Mus musculus: one gene and its partners. The protein of the gene in region 2 purifies or fractionates together with the protein of the main gene of each other region. This does not show direct contact. Links are inferred from orthologs where the notes say so. Each region holds a gene or a part of one and is shown on either strand. Other genes may lie near its edges.

Region 1 (3,016 bases), on a different chromosome or scaffold from region 2:
AGTAATATGAACTGCAGAAAGAAGATCATAAGTAAGACTGGATGCATGAGGCCAGCTGCTCTTTGCCTAGAGTGAGGAGATCCATTTAAACTCAAAGGTGAGGGGTGACCCTGAATCTCATCATGTGAGGAAATGACCCACAGTTACTCTTGCCCTTCCTCTGACATGTGAGGAAACTTCATCTATGTCTTCTGCTCCACCTGTACCACTTGCCACCTCTTCCACACATTACCACCCTGGGTTCCTCATGACTGTCCACTCCACACTCTCATTATCCCTTTCTGTCTAGCCCACAATTCCTAGATGTCGCCTTACCCCAACATGTCCTCAGCATCTTCTTCCGCCCTGGCACAGGGCATGTGCTTGTTAGGTCTGGGGCGTCAATATCTAACGTGTCCAGGTTCCAGGATCCACTCCTAGGGAAAGAGTTTGAGAATCTTACTTCCTGCTCCTATCTTCTACCTTAGGCCCCAGTGCTCTCCTTCATGGACGGCTCAATAATTAAACTCAATACCAATATACAAATACACATGCATTCAATGTCCACAGGAAAGGAAAAAAAAGTTCCTATCTAGGAGTTCCAAGTTCTAGGAATCTCAAATAAATCTCCATCTCTTTCCAGAGCCCAAAGTCATGGCCTTGTGGATTTTATTTAATTTTACAGCAAACCATCTAACAGGTGGAATGACTTCTGTGAAGAACTTGGAGGACTCTTGGCCATGCTGTCGGTTTTACTCATTACTTATGAATGTCTTTCCGTAGGAGAGTTCTAGCAGACTCAGATTACCACTTTCTGGTGGGAGACTTTTAATGTACAAAGATGATTGATATTCATCGGGCAATTCATCATTTGATATGTTCATTAGCCATTTGAAAGCAGAGAACGTCTTAGAGTGGACCAGGTTTCTATGCACACATGCTTCCTGGTCCCTTTCCTTACCTTTCCAGGATGATCCTCACCTCCTGAGGAGAGAAGAGACAGACAGTCAACTCTGGAGTTTCTGACTGACCACTGAGATGCCATTCCTGGGGCCATGTGACATCGCCCTTGGGTAAGGCCCCAAAGATAACTCTGACAAACCGTTACCAGAAATGGCATGTGATGGCTCACAGAATATCTAGGAAGCCAACGTGGTTATGGCCTTTAGCCATGACCAGGGATTTAAAGACTGACAGAGAAAGAGACTTACAAGGGCTGGGTTCTTGGAGGAGCGGGGCTGGCCATGGAGCCAGTAGAAGAGGAAGATAAACAACAGAACCCGACTGAAGCCGGGAGGTAGCTTCAGGCAGAGAATGGCTTAGGTAGATGTCCAGAGAGGTTCCCTGCTATTTTTGGGCTTGAACTGTTTGTGGAGGAATGGCTAGTTGGTTAAAAGCTTTGTCCTGTGCTGTGGCTAATCCTCTTCACTATTTAGAGTGAGTTCAAGTGAGACTATTCATTCTCAGGCAGTGACAGCCATAACATTTGAACTGGCAGCCTCCTAGGCTCCTTAAAAAGGCACCAGGAAGCTCAGTTCAGTGACAGGCAAGAGGAAGCCTGCCAAGTCAAACCAATACAATCAGTTTTTCTATACAAAGCAGAAAGAAATGTCTGTATGCATCTGACTGAGACAGTGACACAGGTATGAGAAAAGAAACCTAGAGTGTCCCAACACCAGGCTAATATACCAAGGGTGGATGCAATGGATGCAACTTTAGAGTATGAACTGACTCTAAAACACAATCTGTCATCTTAATTTCTGCCTCTTACTACTTAGATAAACTGATGTAAGTTAACGGGAATCTCCCACTAATTCCATTAACATTTTCTCTTCCATGGAGTGAGATTGCAGCGGTACTAACCTGAGCCTGGCAGGCCACTAGTGTGCCCTTTAGGAACCTGAGCTATCATCATTATGGGAAAAATTAGAAAAAAGAATAGTAGTACGAATACATGATTATTTTAGTTCCTATGCTTCGGAAAAAAATTATTTTAAGTTTATTTTGGGAAAAGAGTGAGACTACCTGCAGAACGAGAGCACATTAAAGATAATGTAGGTAGTTTACAGAAACACAACAAGCACATTTTTTAAGAGCCGTTCCATATAGCGCAGGCTTTTCCCAAGGTACTCCTTGTGCCTGCGCAGGGGTCGCACCTGCAGTAGCTCCAGCTCTGAACCACGAATCCTCCTCTCCAGCTCTGAGATCAGCTCCTGCAGGGCCTGGTTCTTCTCAGCCAGCTCAGCCTCCTTCTTCCCCAGGAGTCTCAGGTACTCCCTTTGATCCTTCTCCAGCCTCTGCAGCTGCCTCTGCTCCTCCTGAGCCAGCAAGCTATTCTGAAGTGCGAACTCTGCGTGAATCCTCGACTTCTGGGTGTCAATGTTCCTCTGTGGTGGCAAGGGGAAGACAAGAGGTTTTCTTTTTTCTTTTTATTAGATATTTTCTTAATTTACTTTTCAATTGTTATCCCCCCTTTCTGGTTTCCCCTCCAAAAACCCCTCATCCTATCCCCCCTCCCCCTGATCACCAACCCACCCACTCCTGCTTCCTGACCCTGTCATTCCCCTAGATCGGGGCATAGTGCCTTCACAGGACCAAGGGCCTCTCCTCTCATTGATATCCAACAAGGCCATCCTCTGCTACATATGCTGCTGGAGCCATGGGTACTTTTTGGTTGGTGGTTTAGTCCCTGGGAGCTCTGGGTGTATTGGTTTGTTCATATTGTTGTTCTTCCTATGGGGCTGCAAACCCCTTCAACTCCTTGGGTACTTTCTCTAGCTCCTTCATTGGGGACCATCAAGAGTTTTCCCATAAAAATTTCCTAAGCTTGGGTGGTGTCTGTCCCCTAGACCCCCCCCCCCCCCACCTACGCATGCTTCCGGCACCAGATATTTTCTCAACCTTTCTTCCAAAAGCTACTAACGCCCATGTGAGTTCCTCTGTCTTACTATCTCAGCAAGTTGTAGAGCATAAGACCTGTTCCCATACCCATTGATACCCTGGGTGGAAAGCAGTGGTCCCAGGAAAACAGTCTTTG
Region 2 (3,985 bases):
AAGCTCTAGCTCTGCCCTCCTTCCACCCCCACCCTGGAAAAGCCATTTCATTTACGAGAAGAAAAAGAAAAGCCAGCTCCCCATCCTAAACTGGGCCTCTGTGGGGTTCTGTGGGGCTGTGATAAGGAGCCTGAGATGCTTTGTGCAAGGATCTAACCTATGATTTCCTTTGTTAAGTGTGAGTTGTGAGTCACGTGGCTCTAGAAGGCCTATGGATCTGCACCTGAGCCTGACTAGTCCATCTGCTCTCTGTAGCTGCCAGTCTGTCACAGAGAAGAGATAGATGGTTAGGCATAGAGATGCAGAACATGTCACTCTGCTCTCTGCAACCAGAATACAACACCAGAACCAGCGAGAACACAGCAGATAAGTTAACTATTAAGAGCTGTGATCTGTGGCTGGTTAGGATGTGCATGTAAACAAAGCCTTCAAAAAAAGTACCCAAGTGCAGGGGGCAACAAGGCAGGGACAGAAATGTACCTGGCTTCTGGGTCTCTTAAAGCATAACTGCTCTTGTTTGGCACCCCATTCATGAGTAATACACCTAGCACCTGTAGGTACTGAGTCTACAGTACTCTAATACCCCATTCTGGTCTAGTTAAGGTTTGTCCTCCAGATCAACACAGACTCTTTACCTTAATGGTTTTGGACTGGAGTCTCAAGCCGTTCAGTGTGCTGATTGCTCTCTCTGCATCTTTTGCAGTCACATAGTTCACAAAACCGTAGCCCAAGCTGTGTCCTATAAGAGAGAACATGACATTGGTAAACTAGCTTCCAATGAACAGGTGAAGGGGAGGTACATGGGCAAAGTCAGGGTAACACAGTAAAATGCCAAGGGAGGCACACTGGGAAACCACTCTTGAGATGGTGGCAAACTTTTTCTGTGCAAACTTGTATATCTATGCAACTAACAAAGGTAACCTGTAATTAAAAGTTCCTTAAAAACTGGGCCAGTGAGAAGGCTCAGACAGTTAAGTGCTTGCTGCCAAGCCTGACGACGTAGGTTCAATACCCGAGGCCCCGTGGTAGAAGAACTGCGTTAAGTTAGTCTCTGACATATGAGCTATTGTGCATGTGCATACACACAAAATAGACACCTTGTTTCTTGAAGAGGAAAAAAAAGTAATGATGTGTTACTGACTGCATCTTGTGAAACGTTGCCTAGTAATCCCAATGGTGCTGGCTGTACTATGAGGCCTGACAGAAGAGAAAGCAGTGACCAGTGGCTATATAGTCTGTTAATTTCTGAAACCTGAATTCCTAGGGAGAAGGCCTCCTAGGCTCTGGCGCCATCTAGTACTGGTTCCCTTTCTTTCCTGAGTATAGAGCAACTGGGCTCAGTGAAGCGGTGGGGAAAAGCTGAACTGAGAATATACTAAGCCTATTAAGTGGCCCTGGTCACAGGTTCACAGTCCTGGCCTAGCTCCCCCAGCTCTTCCTGGAAGCAGAGTCTACTATAATAATGTCACCAGCATAAATTTGGAATGAGAGCTGAGAGGCATAAAAATTAAGGTAGCAACAAAAGACCCCAAATACTCAAGTCAGGCAGGAACACCCACTACCTGGGTATGGACATGGCATGTAGGGTGAGGCTGAGGAAGAGCTACTGGAGTGTCAGGAAGGAGTCTTAGTGGATGTCTAGCCATGACAAACTTGACTCACATCCTCCCAGCTCATGCAGACACTTCATTCTGTTCTGGGTACTTCAGAGAGCGCCTGTAAGACAAACCCACTGGGTGTAGAGACTTTCGTGTTGAGAGTCTGCTGCAACCAAAACCCAGGAAGTCATCTCCTCTGCTGATAACAAAACCAGAACAAACTAGAAAACCTATTTTCTTTAAGTTGTATTGGCACTTTTCCAACATTTTATTTTAAAACTTGTTTTACTGTATTTGTGTGCACCCATGGCACAGAAGTATTTGGAAAATAGGCACATTTCAAGAATCAGTTTTCTCCTTCCACCATGGTAGTCCCAGCACAGAACTCAGGCTGTCATGCTTGGTGGTAGTGCTTGGTGGTAGTGCTTTCAAATGCAAGCCATTTTGTTAACTCACCTTCCTCAAATACTGCTTTTGTTTTTTCACACAGGGTTTCTCTGTGTAGTCTTGGTTATCCTGGAACTTGATCTGTAGACTAAACTGGCCTCAAGATCACAGAGATCCACCTCTTTCTGCCTCTCAAATGCTAGGAGTAAAGGCAAGAACCACCATGCCCAGCAGACGTTTTTTAATGCCAATTTTAGATTAAAAAAAAAAAGGCACTAAACAAATTACAAGTTCCAGCTTGCCCCCACCCTCCTTTATTACAAATATCTTCCATTACCATGGCATATTTTATACAGTGACAAGTACTTGTTTAATGTTAACTAAAGATTCATACTTAATTCCTATGTCTTTAGTTTTTCTCATTGATGCCTCTTTCTGCCCTAGGACCCCACACAACCTTTAGTGTCATCCCCCTAGCCCCCGATCCCAAAACTCCCCTGGGTAGTATCTCAGACCATTCTTGCTTTTAACAAAAACAAAACAAAACAAAAAACCCACTCCCCAACCGTATTTTATGTTTATAGTTATTTAGCCTGTACAAATATGTAAACTATGTATGTATAAAGCCCATGGAGGCCAGAAGACACTGTCACATTCACTGACTGTGAGCTGCCATTTGGGTCTTCTGGAAGAACAGCTAATATTCTTAACCATTGAGTCTTCTCTCTAGCCCTGTCCTTGCTTTTAATAACTTTCAGTTTGGGGGCCTGGTCTGTATCTCATGTACTGTTCCTTAATTTAGTTTGTTTTGTATTTTTCTTTTGTTTACTATGGTGATTTAAGTTTAGGGGAGGAAGGAAAAAGAGGTAAGGCTCTCATGACAGCCTTTCAAGGGCCAAGTGCATATGCTACCAACAACATATTGGCTTAGATTACCTGGCTAGGATGGTCTGTGAGGTGACCCTCTTCCACTATCACATTGTTTCGACAGATGATACTGCAAAACAAGTCCTAAATTATGTTCTTTCTCTTTGGGGCACAGAAACTACATATGTTATCTGCAATTTTTCAAAGGCTAGCCTCCCTCTCAAAGTCTTTATAGAAATCCACATTTCATTAAAAAAAAATTTGTGCCTGGCAGTGGTGGTGCATGCCTTTAATCCCAGCACTTGGGAGGCAGAGGGAGGTAGATTTCTGAGTCCAGCCTGGTCTACAGAATGAGTTCCAGGACAGCCAGGGCTACACAGAGAAACCCTGTCTTGAAAAACTCAAAAAAAAAAGTGTGTTTGTGTACACATGTACTTATGTGTGTTGAGGCCAGATTCCTTAATCACAAATCCTCCCTTTTTTAATTTAAAATGTTTATATATGGGGCTGGAGATGATTAAAGAGTACTGGCTGTTTTTCTAAAGGACCTGGGTTCAATTCCCAGCATCTATATGGCAGCTTGCAACTGAATATAACTCCAGTTCCAGGGGATCCAACACCTTTACACAGACATATATGCAGGTAAAAGAAATCACATGAAGTAAAAATTCATATTTGAATATAATGTTTTGATAAATCTCTTCTATCCCCATCTCTCCAATTACTCTCCATCCCTCCCCAGGTTGACCTGCAGCTAGCTCCCAGTTCCTAGAAGCACAAAGAGCATGGCAAATCAGAAAGCAGACACATCTTTTCGGCCATAACCACTGTATATTTGGAAATGCAAGATTCTGGTCCAAGTGTAACACAGAACACTTAACAAGGTAACATACATGTTACCTCCATGTGGAGGCTTCTCCAGTGCAGCAGCGCCACCCCCCACCCCCCACCCCCACCCCCCACCCCCCACCCCGGCATCTGGCCTCTGACCACCAGTAACATCTGGGAACTTTTTAGGAGAGTGATATTGATGCTGGGTCAGCCAGAAAACAGGTGGCAGAATTGTGTTCCTACAGCTCCTCCTAAAAGAGGGAGGGGGTACAACCAGCATCCAGGAGAGGTCTCAGACCTTA
Region 3 (3,985 bases), on a different chromosome or scaffold from region 2:
TTGAGTCTGCTGATGGATAATTCATGCATCATCACGCTAAGTTTTCATTGGTTTCCTTTTTCACTTGTTTGTTTTTTGAGACAGGGTTTCTCTGTGCTTTTTGTTTGTTTAAGATTTATTTATTTATCTTATGTATATTAGTACACTGTCACTCTCTTAGACACGCCAGAAGAGTGCATTGGATCTTATTACAGATGGTTGTGAGCCACCATGTAGTTGCTGGGAATTGAACTCAGGACCTCTAGAAAAGCAGTCAGTGCTCTTAATCACTGAGCCATCTCTCTAGCCCCTGGTTTTTGTTGTTGTTGTTGTTGTCTTGTTTTTTATACAGGTTTATTAGGGTTCAACTAGTATAACAATGCTATGTTTGTTTGAGGACATTGCCTAGGTTAGCCTAGAATTTCTGGATCCTCCAGCCTCAGCCTTATTAGCTGGGACTATCGGCAGATGCCTACAGGATACACTGGGTGTCTTTTCTGCTCCCTTACCCCCTTCAACTTAGGGTTAGAGCCTGGGCCTCATGCATGCTGGACAAGCTAAACAGTACTACTGCGCTAAACCCTCAAACACAACTGCACATATATTTTGAGTGTGTAGTTGTATGGATTTCGATTTGTATGTGTTGATAATGTACCTGCTGACCGTGATCACAGTTGAGATAATGCTGTGGCTCCCAAATGTCACCCTGCCATCCTCATCCGCCATTTCTGTTTACAGAACACCGATCTCTGCTGGGCTTGTATCCTGACACTTGGCTCAGGGTTTTTTCTGGGTTCATCACATAGTTGGGTAACCTTTGTTGACATCATTGACCGAGCTGTCCCCTACTTCCTTTCCAGGGCAGATGAAGTTCCCCTGAAGATCCTGGCTCATAACAACTTCGTCGGGCGACTCATTGGCAAGGAAGGGCGGAACCTGAAGAAGGTGGAGCAGGACACAGAGACGAAGATCACCATCTCATCGTGAGTTTCTCCGTGATTCCCTCCACAGCAGTGCCGAGCTCAGGCTGGGGTCACAGCAGTGCCGAGCTCAGGCTGGGGATGAGGGACCTGCCACTGGGCCTTAGCACCTCCCTCTTGGGACAATCAAATCGGAGACGTGAGGAGAACATTTTGTCCTGCTCAATGAGGGCTGGAGCACCCTAATACCTGCCCTTGGTACAACATTCTAGACACACGCATCCCCACGAAAGCCTGCAGCGAAGGTCTGGCCTTTAGGTGTGTCTGCCATTGTACAAGGTGTACAAACCTTGGTTCTTTTCAGCTGTGGCACACAGGGCTGCCTCTGAAGAGCAGTGACAGGAGTGGGTTAGCTGCCTGTAAGCAGCCTGCCTCTCCATTCCTTAGAGCTGTTGCAGAGTAACTATTGCACAGTAGCACATCAAGTTCTGCCTGCAGCCTCTGTGTGTCTGCTGACCACAGCCTTTCATGATAGCCTGTGTTCCCACAGACGGAGTTGTTGTGAGTATGCTTAGTTTCCTTGCCCTGGTTACCTGAAGCCTGGAGATAGGGCTTCCCTGCCGGAAGTTAGACGTCCTTTAGAACTGCTGGACCAGTAACTCAGTTGTCTCCGGCTCTGCCCCTAGCTGGGGTCTGGCTCCCGCCCTGTGCTGCCCACTGCTTGACGTTGTCTTGCTCTCTTGCCAGGCTCCAGGACCTCACGCTCTATAACCCTGAGAGGACCATCACTGTGAAGGGCGCCATTGAGAACTGTTGCAGGGCCGAGCAGGAGATCATGAAGAAAGTTCGAGAGGCTTACGAGAACGACGTGGCCGCCATGAGCGTGAGTGCGAGGCGGCACCGTCTGCGTGTGTTGTTGGGAGTTGAGTCTAGGCCTTGGAGACAGGCGAAAGTGATACCTCTGGAGGAGCTATATCCCAAGCTCCTCTTGCAGCCTTCTCTGAACTTAGCAAGGGTTTTGCTCGCATCTATCTCAGGACACTGTGTGCGTCCCAGGTTCCCAGAGGCTGGAAGAGGGCATTGGATTCTCCAAAACTAAAATTACAGATGGTTGTGGCCCACCATGTGAAGTCCTTGAAGAATAGCAGTGCCCTTGATCAGTGGGCTACCTTTCCAGCCCCTTAGTTTGTGCTTTTGGACTTAACTCATCTAAGTTTGTTTCTGTGGAGGTGGTGGTGCTGGGGATGAAGTCTAGCGTCTTGTACATTGTAGGTAAACAGTCTGTTGTTGGCGTGGGTAGCTGTATTTACTCACAAGGGCTCGTTACATGGCTGCTGGGTTGGGATTGGGGGCAAAGTCTTGGGTTTCATGGATTCTGTACTTTAACCACTCTGTGATCTGTGTGATTTGATCTAGTTAAGCTTGTATACTGTAGGAGATGAAGGATCCCAACTTCAGCTTTTTTCTGAGACAGTCCTGCGCTCTGCTCTGTAGGCTAGAACTGAATTCACTCCTGCCTTAGTTTCCCGAGTGCTGGCCTTACAGGCATGTGCTACCACGATCTGCTCATAGGATTTTCCGTTTTTTTAATGTGTCTGTGTGGGTAGTTCGGCGTGTGGGTGGGTGGTTAGGCGTGCATATGTAGCAGCTTGAGGGGGACATTAGGGGTCATCTTCTTATTTCATATAGACATGGCTTTTACCAAGCCTGGAGTTTGGTGGGTGACAGACAGCAAGACCTAGAAATCCTGCCAGAGCCGCATGCTAGGGTTCTGTCAGCAGGCTGACCTGTGCCTCGCCTCTCTCCGCAGTTGCAGTCCCACCTCATCCCTGGGCTTAACCTGGCTGCTGTAGGTCTCTTCCCAGCTTCATCCAGCGCTGTCCCTCCTCCTCCCAGCAGTGTCACCGGGGCTGCTCCCTATAGCTCCTTCATGGTAGGTGGAAGGTCTTGTTACCCAGGGCTTGGGACATTGGCAAGAGGGAGGGAAGAGAGGCCTCTGCAGCCAGAATGCCAGCTACAAGGAGAAGAGCCCAGCTGAGGCGTCGGCAGCAGCTTTCCACTTGGTTTTAGCTCCCTTTAGTTGGAAGGGAGAGAAAAAGAGTTCATGGCGTCCTCCTATAGCCCAGGGCGCAGCTAGGTATCTGCACCTGTTACTTTTGGAGGCTGTATGGCAGCCCAGTGGAGGGGCTCCTGGGTCCTGCCTCGCCCCCTTCCCTGGGCCTTTGGTAAGGAGTCCCCTGTTCTGGCAGCAGGCTCCGGAGCAGGAGATGGTACAAGTGTTCATCCCCGCCCAGGCTGTGGGCGCCATCATTGGCAAGAAGGGCCAGCACATCAAACAACTCTCCCGCTTCGCCAGCGCCTCCATCAAGGTGATTTGTTCTTGAGTTCTCCTAGGTCTAGTATCAACTCCAGCCCCCTTCACACGTCACACTGGGAGTGAAAAGCCCAGTCCCTTGCGGGTGTCTTCAGTGCTTCTAGGTTTCCAGGCTGGACAGGTAGCAGGACTAACACACAGCAGGCTGAGTGAGATTCTGCCACAATAGACCTCCTCCCAACCCCATCCTTATCGCCTGCTGCCGAGTCTCAGTGTCACACTGCCTGGTGTGGCAAGTCTGTCAGTGTCCTTGTGTGGGAGGCCAGGAAGCAGGTGGTGCCTCACAGTGAACACTGCCTGTGCTGGTTGTCTTTTAACCATCCTGGATCCAGGATCCCAGAGAGCAAGGAAGCCAGTGCTGTTAACCTCACAGGTTTCTTTCAATGGTGTTTAAAGCTTTGTGATTTCCTCCCAACCCCAAGAGAGCTGTAGCCTCTGCATGCTCTACCCAGTCAGTCATCTCGTAATTCCCTGCCTCTTGCCAGCACTCATCTGCTAAAACCCCCAGGTGGGTTTGGTGTTGCGATGCAGTCCTACTGTGTGCAGGTCACTGAGGCAGGTCCTCCTCGCATGCTGCCCATGCCATCATCACAGTTCTTGTGTACAGTCAGGAACTTGGGCTTGGGGCTCTCTGTTCTTCCCTTCTCAGAGCGTGCACTGGGAGGGAACTAGAGGGGCTGGAGATGCCTTCATCTTCCCCTGGAACCCGCAC

Evidence for each region.
Region 1: the proteins of Elavl1 (region 2) and Trim21 purify together in Homo sapiens (affinity purification with western blotting; 3 studies listed by BioGRID, with this or other methods). This does not show direct contact. The link is inferred for Mus musculus from reciprocal best matches to the Homo sapiens genes ELAVL1 and TRIM21.
Region 3: the proteins of Elavl1 (region 2) and Igf2bp1 purify together in Homo sapiens (co-immunoprecipitation; 3 studies listed by BioGRID and IntAct, with this or other methods). This does not show direct contact. The link is inferred for Mus musculus from reciprocal best matches to the Homo sapiens genes ELAVL1 and IGF2BP1.

The regions. Positions count from the first base shown.
Region 1 is NC_000073.6:102,559,653-102,562,668, forward strand, and holds part of Trim21 (E3 ubiquitin-protein ligase TRIM21), read right to left. Parts: intron 2,367-3,016; coding exon 2,136-2,366; intron 964-2,135; coding exon 941-963; intron 417-940; coding exon 316-416; intron 12-315; coding exon 1-11. UniProt on the Homo sapiens protein: E3 ubiquitin-protein ligase whose activity is dependent on E2 enzymes, UBE2D1, UBE2D2, UBE2E1 and UBE2E2.
Region 2 is NC_000074.6:4,304,292-4,308,276, forward strand, and holds part of Elavl1 (ELAV-like protein 1), read right to left. Parts: intron 740-3,985; coding exon 636-739; intron 1-635. UniProt on the Homo sapiens protein: RNA-binding protein that binds to the 3'-UTR region of mRNAs and increases their stability.
Region 3 is NC_000077.6:95,967,646-95,971,630, reverse strand, and holds part of Igf2bp1 (insulin-like growth factor 2 mRNA-binding protein 1), read left to right. Parts: intron 1-839; coding exon 840-962; intron 963-1,646; coding exon 1,647-1,782; intron 1,783-2,709; coding exon 2,710-2,832; intron 2,833-3,148; coding exon 3,149-3,268; intron 3,269-3,985. UniProt on the Homo sapiens protein: RNA-binding factor that recruits target transcripts to cytoplasmic protein-RNA complexes (mRNPs). This transcript 'caging' into mRNPs allows mRNA transport and transient storage.